3 linked regions of the Sus scrofa genome follow. The protein of the gene in region 1 interacts with the protein of each later gene in a biochemical or structural test. Links are inferred from orthologs where the notes say so. Each region holds a gene or a part of one and is shown on either strand. Other genes may lie near its edges.

Evidence for each region.
Region 2: the proteins of MYLIP (region 1) and CNPY2 form a complex in vitro, tested with the Homo sapiens proteins (2 studies listed by BioGRID). The link is inferred for Sus scrofa from reciprocal best matches to the Homo sapiens genes MYLIP and CNPY2.
Region 3: of the proteins of MYLIP (region 1) and LDLR, one has a biochemical effect on the other in vitro, tested with the Homo sapiens proteins (4 studies listed by BioGRID, with this or other methods). The link is inferred for Sus scrofa from reciprocal best matches to the Homo sapiens genes MYLIP and LDLR.

The regions. Positions count from the first base shown.
Region 1 is NC_010449.5:12,115,857-12,120,064, forward strand, and holds the start of MYLIP (E3 ubiquitin-protein ligase MYLIP), read left to right. Parts: upstream 1-1,397; 5' UTR 1,398-1,636; coding exon 1,637-1,723; intron 1,724-2,815; coding exon 2,816-3,006; intron 3,007-4,208. UniProt on the Homo sapiens protein: E3 ubiquitin-protein ligase that mediates ubiquitination and subsequent proteasomal degradation of myosin regulatory light chain (MRLC), LDLR, VLDLR and LRP8. Activity depends on E2 enzymes of the UBE2D family.
Region 2 is NC_010447.5:21,708,438-21,712,592, reverse strand, and holds the start of CNPY2 (protein canopy homolog 2 precursor), read left to right. Parts: upstream 1-1,300; 5' UTR 1,301-1,821; exon of another isoform or gene 1,822-2,322; intron 2,323-2,420; 5' UTR 2,421-2,445; coding exon 2,446-2,533; intron 2,534-2,677; coding exon 2,678-2,793; intron 2,794-3,639; coding exon 3,640-3,843; intron 3,844-4,000; coding exon 4,001-4,097; intron 4,098-4,155. UniProt on the Homo sapiens protein: Positive regulator of neurite outgrowth by stabilizing myosin regulatory light chain (MRLC). It prevents MIR-mediated MRLC ubiquitination and its subsequent proteasomal degradation.
Region 3 is NC_010444.4:69,839,579-69,843,210, reverse strand, and holds part of LDLR (low-density lipoprotein receptor), read right to left. Parts: intron 2,888-3,632; coding exon 2,765-2,887; intron 1,828-2,764; coding exon 1,441-1,827; intron 1-1,440.

The sequences.
Region 1 (4,208 bases):
ATCTCCCAGGTAAATTTTCCCAGATCAGTCAAATGACATTAAGTGAATGAAGAACAAGAGTGGATACAAGGTGGGACTATTTCAGCACAATATTGTGAGGGATATTCTTAAGACACAAAGATGCGAGTGCACACGTCCCTCTGCAGCGCTGGGGCTCAGGACTTGGACTTGTTTTGGCTGTAGTTTAGTGAAAGACTGCAGTAGGATTCTAACCGGTAATCTGCCCTGATATCCTTCCTGCTTTTTCAGAAATAAAGGCCACTGGGACAGACATCCCTGGGACTCCAAGAAAGGGATCAGGACAGAAGTCATTGGCAGGCAGTGAGAGCTGACAGTACATATCTCCCTACATATAAGGGGTCGTTCAAATGCTTTTATGAACACTATCTCTGCTGCTTTTCAGAGCAATGCTGGGGAAAGGCGGGTCAGACACTGTGGTCTCCCTTTTACTGCTGAAACACTGAGCTGCGGAGAGATGAAGTCAGTTTTCAAGGGTGCAAGGCTGAAACCCACATCTTCTGGCTTCTGTGAAGAAACCAAAGAGGTAGGCTCAATAATGCACTAAGAGAAACAAGTGGTAAATGAGGGGAGAGTTGTAGACCTTTAATTATTAATAGCTACAATTGAGGTTAAATCACCTGTTAGGTTCTGAGATGAGTTCCTTACCCCAAGATGGGGATAACACCTGGTTGCCTGAGAGACTGGAGCAGGTGCTCAATTAATGTTAAGTGAATAAATGAGATGAGGTGTGAGATAGGATGAGCAACCCCAGGGAGGGCCTTAGTGACCAGTACGGTGTTTTGATTCAGCACAATGGGTAAATAGAAGCTTCTGGAGAGGGTTCATGGAGAAAGTGCTAGATCAAGCTCCCTGGCTTATTGAACAATCGCAAAAACTTTTATACTCAGATTTTGTTTTTTCAATGACGGCGCCTAAAATAAAGAACAAGAATTCCGCCTTCCAGCAACCCACTGTGGCAAACCACAGGGGAAACAGTTTTTTTTTAGGCTTTGGGGTTGTTCTCTTTCCTATCCGCTTCCACCTCAAGGCTTCTGAAGAACAGCGGCTGCTTGGAGGCGTTTAATCAATGTAAATTCGAGCCCGACTGAAAGTCGTCCCAGCCTGGGAGCCCCGGGCGATCGCTGGCTCGGAGCAGCGTCGCCCAGCGGGCAGAGGTAGAGGCTGCGTCCCAGGTCCTCCCTCCTCCCGCAGCGCCCGCCGCCCGCGAGCTGCCACCTCCCGGGGAGGCTGAGGGGAACTCAGCCGACGCTGGAAGGGCGGGCGGCAGGGGAGCGGGCGTCGCTATTGGCTGGTGGGGCGGCGGTGGAGGGGCGGGGCCACCGTGATTGGCGGGGGCTCCCAGCCGAGGGGGGCGGGGCCGCTATATCTGAGGAGTCCCTGTCGCGGCGCAGGCAGTCGGGCTGCTGGAGTGCGGCGCCACCGCGGGAGTCAGCGAGCCGGCTGCCGGGCGCGCTGGCAAGGGGGTGGCGGCGAGGGCGCGGCGGCTGCGGTGTGCAGGGCAGGGGTCTGCAAGGCTGCAGCCTCCTGAGGGCCAGCCTCGCCGAGACGGGAACTGGGTCTGAGCCCCGCGCACACCAAAGACGAGGCGGCTGTGGCGGCAGCGGCGGCCCCAGCCATGCTGTGCTATGTGACGAGGCCGGACGCGGTGCTGATGGAGGTGGAGGTGGAGGCGAAAGCCAATGGCGAGGACTGCCTCAACCAGGTGAGGACCAGGGGCCAGGCGGGGGCCCCAGCCGGCTCCAGAGGCCCAGGGGCCTCGTGGTGGCTCCAGGAGCCCGGACGCGGGGCTTCTCGGGGGCCGGCATCGCGGAGGCGCCGGCGGCGGAGGGAGTGCGCCCCAGGCGCCCGGCCCGCGCCCCCTCCTCCTCGAGGCCGTGGGGCGCGCGGCCCCCTTCCCGGCGCGCGGGGGACGCCTGGAGGAGTGGGGGTGGGTGTCTCGGGGGACGCGCGGCGGGCCTACCACCCTGCCCCCCAGCCCGGCACTCTCCTGGAAGAAGGGGGCCCAGCACACCTGCCGCAGGTGTGTGCGTGATGCCTCCTGTCGGGTCCCCGCGGGGCCTGGCAGCGCCACCTGCGCCCCGGGTTGCGGTGGCTGGAAGCAGTCGCAGGTCCCGTGGGTTGCTTGGCAGATAAGCCAGGCCCTCGCCTCTTGCTACCTGTCTAATGGACCGTTCATCTACCTGCATCTCCCCTATTGCGGGGGACAAGAGGACCACAGGTTTGGCTTTTCTACCTCACGGCTGTCTTTCAGCACGCGTTTCCTTAAGAGTAAAGAAGAACGGTTCCAAATAGTGTACATAGTAGTATGGCAGATGGCAAATTCAGCTCAAGAGAAACGCTTTGCCCTCAAACCCCCTCGACCTGAGATGTTTGGAAAACCTACAAGCTTAGCTGACACTTGTGGCGTGTTAGCTCAATGTGTTTGTTTTGTTGGAGTCCAGATGGTTAAAATTGCCCAAATAATAAGCTGCCAAATCAGCTGTGCGGATTGTGCTGGTGGAGGGAATTCCGGTGATTGGAATGAGGAGGAGAATACCCCGTGGATTCCCCTCCTCAGCTTTTCTGGAAGGCTGCATTTTGAGAACTCCTTTTGTGCCTCTATCTAGTAGTGGTTTAACATCCCTGGAGCCTTAGAACCTTGTTCTAGCTAACAACAGGAATTGTAACACCGTTGTTGAACCTTGTGTTTTTTTGTTTTTTTGTTTTTAAAGTAGGCAGGAATGTTAAAGCCTTTGGGTTTGCTTTAATCCCGTGGACCACTTGCTCATCCATGCTGCATTTGTTTTTGTTTTAGGTGTGCAGGCGATTGGGAATTATAGAAGTTGATTATTTTGGACTGCAATTTACGGGTAGCAAAGGTGAAAGTTTATGGCTAAATCTAAGAAATCGGATCTCCCAGCAGATGGATGGGCTAGCCCCTTACCGGCTTAAACTGAGAGTCAAGTTCTTCGTGGAGCCTCATCTCATTTTACAGGAACAGACTAGGTAAAGTGACCCTAAAATAAACCAATGTCAAATAGACCTTTGGTTCCATTTAGGAAGGGGCCATTGCACCTCCCAGAGATGTTCACAGGCAAATTTGTTTTGTTACAGAGCGAGTTGGTTCCTAACTCAGAAGTTTTCCACAGTTCTTTTGTTGAGATGAAAAGAGAGGTGCATAGTTGGCCTGGGGTATGATTTCCAACTCTTCTGGTGTTTTTCTTGTCTTTATAAACAGTGGGTGAGCAGGGCTGACTTTTTACACTTGATCAGTGCCACAACACACAAAAAAATCAAATAAAAAAAGAAAGAAAGGGACCAACTGACTTCCTGATAGCAGCATCTACTGTCCGATAGTAACCTCTGCCTCAGCAGTGTTACTATAGGTCATTGCAGACTGCTCTAACAGAAAGCAGGAAACAGTTCCTCTTGGGTTACTTAAACTTGGTCAACTTCTTCAGCCTAGTGTCAGATTACAGTCTGTAGGAAGGAGCTCTGTCCGAGTAAATGCAGAATTTTAAAAGTTTTTCAGTTTCTTGAAAACTTAGTAGGAAAACTTCTTTTAAGGCCAGTAGTAATCAAACTCCACTCCACAGATGTGTTATGCATGATTGTTGAATTTGGATTGTTAAATTTATCTCTTTATTTCTAGGAAGCCACCAATAGTGATAGATAATTGGAGCATGTGGTTTCTTTTTTCAAACAGAAAATGGTTTCTCCTCTAGACTGTCTATAATACTTTTCTCAAAGAGAGCCAAGCTAGGAAACCAGAATTTAGTGTTTATTGCTAAAATACAGGAAACCTAAATCTTACAGTGGCATGTTTAAAAAAAAAAAGGAAAGAAAATGACTACTTTTAAGCACAGCAAACTTTGGATCCAAGTTCTGATGTTTTTTCATAATCCTTTGGCTTGGAAATTTGCCAGCACATGAAAAATGTGAGTGTGACAACTTTGAGTAACGATGAGTGAGCTATACACATCCTTTAAGAGTTTTTAGCATGTCAGTTTTTTGGTTGTTTACCAAAGGACGGAAAGAAACATTTTGAAGTACTATTCATCTGAATTTGAAATCTGTTTTGCCTTGTTACGAAACTTTAAAGGGTGAAGGAAATGTTCAATTTGGTATCTGAGAGAAGCTAGTATATTGAATGCTTAGTGCTTCTGAAAATGTCTTGCACGATATTCAAGTGATTCCATGTTTAAGGA
Region 2 (4,155 bases), on another chromosome or scaffold:
AAATATCCTAGGCAAAGAAGCTCCTGGAACCAAAACTCTCAGTTCCTAGTCCCAGACAATGATAGGATACAACAGTAGTAGCTCAAGACCTAACTCAGGTCTCTGCTTCAGGGTTGCCTGGAGGGGCCAGCATTTAGTCTGGTGGCCCCAGCAAACTAGTGTTGCCAACATCACCATTGCCAAAAGGGCCTTTGGGTCCTAGACAAAGCTTGGCTGCTGGCTTCACTTCTGCCGACAGCTGAGAAGCATCTGTCTTCCATCCACTCTCCCATCCCAAGTTTTGTTTTCTTGTTATTTTTTAAAATTTTGTTTTAAACTGCATGTTTTATAAAATAAAAACGAAAAATATTGGGTGTCATCTATTTCATTAGGAACATCTGAGTGTGGGGTACTCTGACTTCAGTCCTCCCTTCCTTTGTGTTGGCTTTCTATTACAATCAGAAAAAACTTGGAAGTTCCCGTCGTGGCGCAGTGGTTAACAAATCCAACTAGGAACCATGAGGTAGCGGGTTCGATCCCTGCCCTTGCTCAGTGGGTTAACGATCCGGCGTTGCCATGAGCTGTGGTGTAGGTGGCAGACGCGGCTCGGATCCCATGTTGCTGTGGCTCTGGCATAGGCTGGCAGCTACAGCTCCGATTGGACCCCTAGCCTGGGAACCTCCACATGCCGCAGGAGCGGCCCAAGAAATGGCAAAAAGACAAGAAAAAAGAAAAAACTAAGGCTTTCAAATTCCCACCTAGAAGTGAAGATAAAGCTCTAGAGTCCAAAATTAAGAATATTGGGAGTTCCCATTGTGGCTCAGAGGTAACGAACCCAACTAGGATCCATGAGGATGCATGTTTGATCCCTAGTTTCGCTCAGTGGGTTAAGGATCCAGCGTTGCCATGAGCTGTGGTGTAGGTTGTAGACGTGGTTCCAATTCTGAGTTGCCATGGCTGTGGTGTAAACCAGCAGCTGAAGCTCCAGTTCAACCCCTAGCTTGGGAACTTCCATATGCCACAGATGCAGCCCTAAAAGCAAAAAAAAAAAAAAAAAAAAAAAAAAAAATCTTAGAAAAAATTAAGGATATTGGAGGAGTATAATTAGGTCTATATGGGCAGTGTTTGGTCTTTGCTGTGGCTGCCCAGCACCCTAAGGTTGGGTTCTTTTAAGAGGTGCATTATGATTTCCCTATTAAATGTATGAAAGGGAATTTGGAGAACCTTACAAACTACAGGTCCCAGGATATCTGATCTTTGGCTACCAGCAAAGAGCCTGTGTGGTGCCGCGGTGCTTCCTGGGAGATGCAGTTTCCCGGGCATTGAAACCTGGGCTTCTTACTAGCTAGCAGCGCACCTTTCTTTTTGAAGGCTCGAACCCATCTAGACTGCCATGCGCGAGCCTGAGGGCCTCGGTGCACCACGTCGGGCTCTGTCCTTGCTTCTAGCCACTCCTATTCCTCGGCTGACCCCTGGTGGTCACGTGGAACTGCTCGCCACGCAAGTCTGGGTCCTGCAATCCGCTGGGGTCCTCGCTGCCTGAGAGCCGCTCCTACGCTGCCTGTTCGCGCGAGAGTTTGGAGGGGCGGGTTTGGGGTCGGTCTCTAGGGTGGGATTCTTACCGCAGCGCATCTGGGCCCTGATTAGGCAGGCGTCCACTTAGGGTCGGAAAAGCTGGCTCAGGCAGTCGCTGGGGCACCCCGTGTCTAGAAAGTGCAGGAGCGCTCTGGAGAAGCTTGGACAGCCCCGCGCTCCCGCAGCCAGGTGCTAGGTTTGAGAGCAAAAGTGAGAGTCCGGCTGTATTCCAGCGCCTGGGCCACCGCGGCGGCCCTGGGAGCAGAGGTGGGACGGACGCGAGTGGCAGTGAGGGTCGGGGTTGGACTGGAGCGAAAGCAATGGCGGGGTCTTTAGAAAGGGGGCTGGTCCGTACAGGGAATAGTCTATAGGCTGGAGGTGGGATGCAGCAGTCTTTGATGCTGGCTTCAAATAGGCCCTAGTTATTGAATGCTTTTTCTTGCCAGCCAGCCACCTCGCTACCTCCTGGCCAGAATCAGCTACTCCTTGCCAGCAGCTCCTCTGCTTGTCGTCCTTGCCTGATCGCCAGCCACAGACCCATAGCCGTCATCCACATAGCCCTATGAATCGTAGGCAGCCGAAGCTTAAGTACCAACATCTAAGGCCTCACTTGCCCACGTAGTGTCTGGGGCTAAGCCCCAAGTCCCGAGTTTGCGCTCTTTACCCACCGCCCCCGGGGATTCCGGTTGCTCGAACGCCGGAACAGAGGAGCTCCTTTGTGTCCGGGCCATTTCCTGGAAAGTGGAGCCAGATCACACTGAGCCCTTTGTAGGCCTTGGGAGGGGAGGTGGGGGGGGGGTGGTCGGAGGACGGGGAGAAATGGAGCTGTCTCCTCACACCTATGCTTTATTCCATTCCAAACCCAGGTGGAGCAACCCCATTGCGCTAAAGATGAAAGGCTGGGGTTGGCTGGCCCTGCTTCTAGGGGCCCTGCTGGGAACTGCCTGGGCTCGAAGGAGCCAAGATCTACACTGTGGAGGTAAAGGCACAAAAGAAGAAATGGGAGGAAGGGAGGTGGGGATGATAGAGCCTTGGGAGGGCAAGGAATCCAAGGCCCGAGAAAAGGATGAGTGGAAATCCCTGGGTTGATTCCTTTCTCCCCCTCTCCCTCCACTTGCACCAGCTTGCAGGGCTCTGGTGGATGAACTAGAGTGGGAAATTGCTCAGGTGGATCCCAAGAAGACCATTCAGATGGGCTCTTTCCGAATCAATCCAGATGGCAGCCAGTCAGTGGTGGAGGTAACTGTGACTATTCCCCCGAATAAAATAACTCACTCTAACTTTGAAGGAGAAACTCAACTAATTAAGAAGGACCATAGTTTGATAGAAATGAAGAAAACATTGACCCACAGAGGCATCTAAAAGATTGGGCTGTCTCATTTGGAGGAGGTTGAAGGTTTATACCCTTATGCATTTGCCTCCTGGCTCCAAACCTAATAATTTTTTTTTGGTATAGAAGTTTTAGCAGAGAGGGAACCTTGACCAACCCCCTTCTCCACATCCTTAATCTTTATGACTTGTGTTTTTACTATGGCAGCATACATAAAAACATTTGGGGGGGGCGGGGAAACTTATCCTTATATTTAGGAAATTTACTTTAGTTGAAATATAACACACAGACACAAAGCTGTATCTAGTGAGCACTTGAGAAAGGTTAAGGTCATGAATGCTTGTGAAATGCTTTAACAGTTGTTATCCTCAAAGCCTATGCTACCTCTCAGTGTTCTTTCTTAAGGGTAGGTATTAGTCTCATTTTCATACAAAAAAGAAAGTCAGTACCTTACAGCCCTAAGAATTAAAGGAATTCAAAGGAAGAGAACGTGTAGTTAATTAGGGTTAGTCAAAGAGGTTGTTTTATAATTTGGAGCTAATGACACCTATGTTACGTTTTAGGCTTGTATAATGAGGTAAAATAGTTTCACATATTTGAAAATACTTTGGAACTGTACAAATCATACTGTTTTTAAATTAGGACAGCCTTTTTAGAATAGATTGGTTGGGCTAGATTTGGAAGGAAAAGTAAGGACACAAATTACTAATGTACAGAGGTAGAAGAATGTGACCCAAGGCTGAGGACATTTCTAGGTGCCTTATGCTCGCTCAGAGGCCCACCTCACAGAGCTGCTAGAGGAGGTATGTGACCGGATGAAGGAGTATGGGGAACAGATTGATCCTTCCACCCACCGCAAGAACTACGTGCGTGTAGTGGGCCGGAATGGAGAGTCCAATGAACTGGACCTACAGGGCATCCGAATTGATTCAGACATCAGCGGCACCCTCAAGTTCGCGGTGAGCTATGGGAGTGGGTATCGGGTTCTTAGAAATTAGGGGAGTTACTGGAGAGCCCAAGTGGAAAGCTGGGTTAATGCCCTTGTCCTTTTCGGAGGTGGAGACCAGAGGCTTTCTTTGCTGTCCTCTCTCATTCATTTCTCCCTTGGGTTGACAGTGTGAGAGCATTGTGGAGGAATATGAGGATGAACTCATTGAATTCTTTTCCCGTGAGGCTGACAACGTTAAAGACAAACTTTGTAGTAAGCGAACAGGTAAGCTACACCCACTTTATCTCCTGTCCTCACAGCCCTCTGGAACCTTCTCCATCCT
Region 3 (3,632 bases), on another chromosome or scaffold:
TCGGAGCTACTGCTGCTGCTGCTGCCGCTGCCGGCCTAGATCACAGCCACAGCAACACCAGGTCCCAGCTGAGTCTGCAACCTACAGAACTCACGGCAACACCAGATCCTTAACCTACTGAGTGAGGACAGGGTTCAAACCTGCGTCCTAATGGATACTAGTCAGGTTCCTTACCACTGAGCCACGATGGGAACTCCCTAGTATAGAGAGATAAGCTGACTACTTCAATTACTCCTGGGGTCAAGAAGACCTCCCCAGTTATATATACACAGAGAAACTCTTGGGGGTCAAAAACGGAGGTGGGTACCAGGCCATAGTAGGTCCTGATGCCCTCCCATAACACTTTGCTCTGAAATCCATCTTGACCAAAAGCTGCACACACAGATCAGGGAGGGCCCTGGGTCTGGTCAGGTGTGAGAAATAAAACAGGATAACTGGTCAAAGAAAAACAAAGACCCAGTAGACCCGTCTATAAAGTGGTTTAAATCACCTCTCTGGCTCGCTCTTCATTCGGGGGGGGAACGCCAGCACTCCTCTTTTGGGTGTGGATTACTGCTTTGCTCTGACTTAAATAAACTACTTTTTCTTTTTTCAGTCTTTTTAGGGCCACACGCACAGCATGTGGAAGTTCCCAGGCTAGGGGTCAAACTGGGGGACTGTAGCTGCTGGCCGACACCACAGCCACAGCCACTCGAGATCCAATCCTAGCCTGTGACCTACACCACAGCTCACGGCAATGCCGGATCCTTAACCCACTGAGCGAGGCCAAGGATCGAACCTGTGTCCTCATGGATGCTAGGTGGGTTCGTTAACCACTGAGCTATGATGGGAACTCCTAAATAAACTACTTCCCTGTGTGCTCTCCAACATGTCACACTGTGTCTCTGACAATAAACTTTGTACCTGTTTTTACAGTCTTTGTCTCCTTGAAACATTCTTGCTTTCAACAGGGAGCAAGAATCAAGGCAATTCTGCTTCCAGCCTCTAGCTAAGATTCCTGGTTTTCACCCAGGCTGCTCAGGTTTTGTTTTTTGTATTTTCTAGGGCCTCACTCACGGCATATGGAGGTTCCCAGGCTAGGGGTTGAATCGGAGCTGTAGCCGCTGGCCTATGCCAGAGCCACAGCAACACCAGATCTGAGCTGCGTCTGCAACCTACACCACAGCTCACAGCAACACCAGATCCTTAACCCACTGAGCAAGGCCAGGGATCGAACCTGCAACCTCATGGTTCCTAGTCAGATTCGTTAACCACTGAGCCACCACGGAACACCCAGGCTGCCCAGGTTTGATTCCCGAGCAGAGAATTAAGATCTTGCTTCGAGCCATCACTCACAGCTGTCTCTCCAAGATCAGAACCACCTAAAGGCACTGGCCAGCCCCCCACCCCCCACACAGGAGGGCCCAGGGACAGGTGAAGGGATCCCCAAGGCGCCCCTACCGCAGTTCTCCTCGTCAGACTTGTCCTTGCAGTCAGTGTCTCCGTCGCAGCGCCAGCTGGAGTGGATGCACTCGCCACTGTGGCAGTGGAACTCGAGGGCTGAGCAGGGGTTGTTGCTCCTCTCGGGGAGTGATGAGCTGTGGCTCCTGCAGTGCTGTGGCCACTCGTCTGAGCCGTCCTCGCAGTCAGGATCACCATCACAGGCCCACAGCTCAGGGATGCAGGTGGAGCTGTTGCACTGGAAGCTGGCGGGGCCACAGGTGGGTGTGGGGCAGGATGCTTCATCCGAGCCGTCCAGGCAGTCCCGGTCCGAGTCACAGACAAACTTTGGGGCGATGCACTTGCCGTCCTGGCAGCGGAACTCATCTTGGGAGCACGTCTTGGGGGCTTCAGAAATAGACAGAAGATCACAGCCAGGTTACCGGGGAGGCCCTACACCAGCCCACTGCATAGATGGGGACACTGAGCCCAGGACAGGCCAAGCCCAGTGAGTGGACCTGGGGTAGTAGTCAGGGGCCCTGGATTTGGAACCACTGCCCCACCCAGATACCCACCCAGCTCCCGGCCCTCTCAATGCCTCGGACGTCTGTTCGTGTCTCAAGGTGTTACTGTGAGGAACGTGTGTAAAGTTCCCAGGTTGGGCTGGGCACATGGGAAGCACTATTTAAGAGTTTGCACAGGGATCCACATTCAATTTCTTGTAATAAACTATAATGGAAAAGAACATGAAAAAGAGGGAGTTCCCTGGTCGTTCAGCAGGTTAAGGATCTGGCAGTTGTCACTGCTGTGCAGTGGGTTGCAGCTGCACCTTGAATTCAGTCCCTGGCCTGGGAACTTGATATGCAGTGGATGCGACCAAATAAAAAAAAGAGAGAGAGAAATATATATATTTCTCTTCCTTTTACATTCTCTCCCATTATAGGTTATTACAACCTGTCCAGAGGTTTTTGTTTTTTTAAAGAGCCTCACTTCATGAAAGACATGTCTATACAAGAGTTCCCCAGTGGCTCAGTGGGTTAATGATCCAGGGTTGTCACTGCTGTGGCACAGGTTTGATCCCTGGCCCAGGAATTTCCACATGCCATAGATGCGGCCAAAAAAAAAAAAAAAAAAAAAAAAGTTTATATAGCTGAAAAGGAAATTATAAATAATGAATAAAATCAAAGAGCCAGCTGCCACATGCCTTCCCATCTGAAACTATCAGCCTTGTTTCTTTGTGGAACTCTCAGCTGGAGGAACAAATTCTGACCTCAGACCAGAATCTGGTCGGGTCACTTGGACGTGGCTGAGGCCCATGGCCCATGAGGTGAGGGACCCCACTTACAACAGCCTTCCTCATCTGAGCCATTCTCGCAGTCCTGCTGACCGTCACACCTCCAAGACTCAGGAATGCAGCGGTTGACACGGCCCCCACAGCTAAAGTCCCCTATCTTGCAGGTGACAGACACTGTGGGAGAAAACAGCATTGACCCTTAACTCATAGGAAGACCAACCTGCCTTGCCAGTCTGGGCTTTGCAAAGGAAAAAACCTTGGAGTTCCCTGGTGGCCTAATGGTTAAGGATCTGGCATTGTCACTGCTGTGGCTAGGGTTCCATCGCTGGCCTGGGAACTTCTGCATGCTGTGGGAGCAGCCAAAAGTGAGTAGCGAGCTCCCCTTTACATTTTATTTAATAAAATAAAAATTATAGGAGTTCCCATGGTGGCTCAGTGGTTAACGAATCTGACTAGGAACCATGAGGTTGCGGGTTCGATCCCTGGCCTTGCTCAGTGGGTTAAGGATCTGGTGTTGCTGTGAGTTGTGGTGTAGGTCACAGACACGGCTCAGATCCTGCCTTGCTGTGGCTCTGGCGTAGGCCAGTGGCTACAGCTCCGATTAGACCCCTAGCCTGGGAACCTCCATATGCCACAGGAGCACTCAAGAAAAGGCAAAAAGACTAAAATAAAATAAAAATTATATTAAATTGGAAAAAAATTAAGTGACCAGTTGGTAAGGGCTATAGGGATAAATTAGGAGTTTGGAATTAACAGATACACGACACTACATATTAAATAGATAGACGACAAGGACCTACTGCATAGCACAGGAAACTATATTCAATATCTTGTAATAACTATACTAGAAAAGAATCTAGGAGTTCCAGTTGTGGCTCAGTGGAAACGAACCCAACAAGCATCCATGAGGACCCAGGTT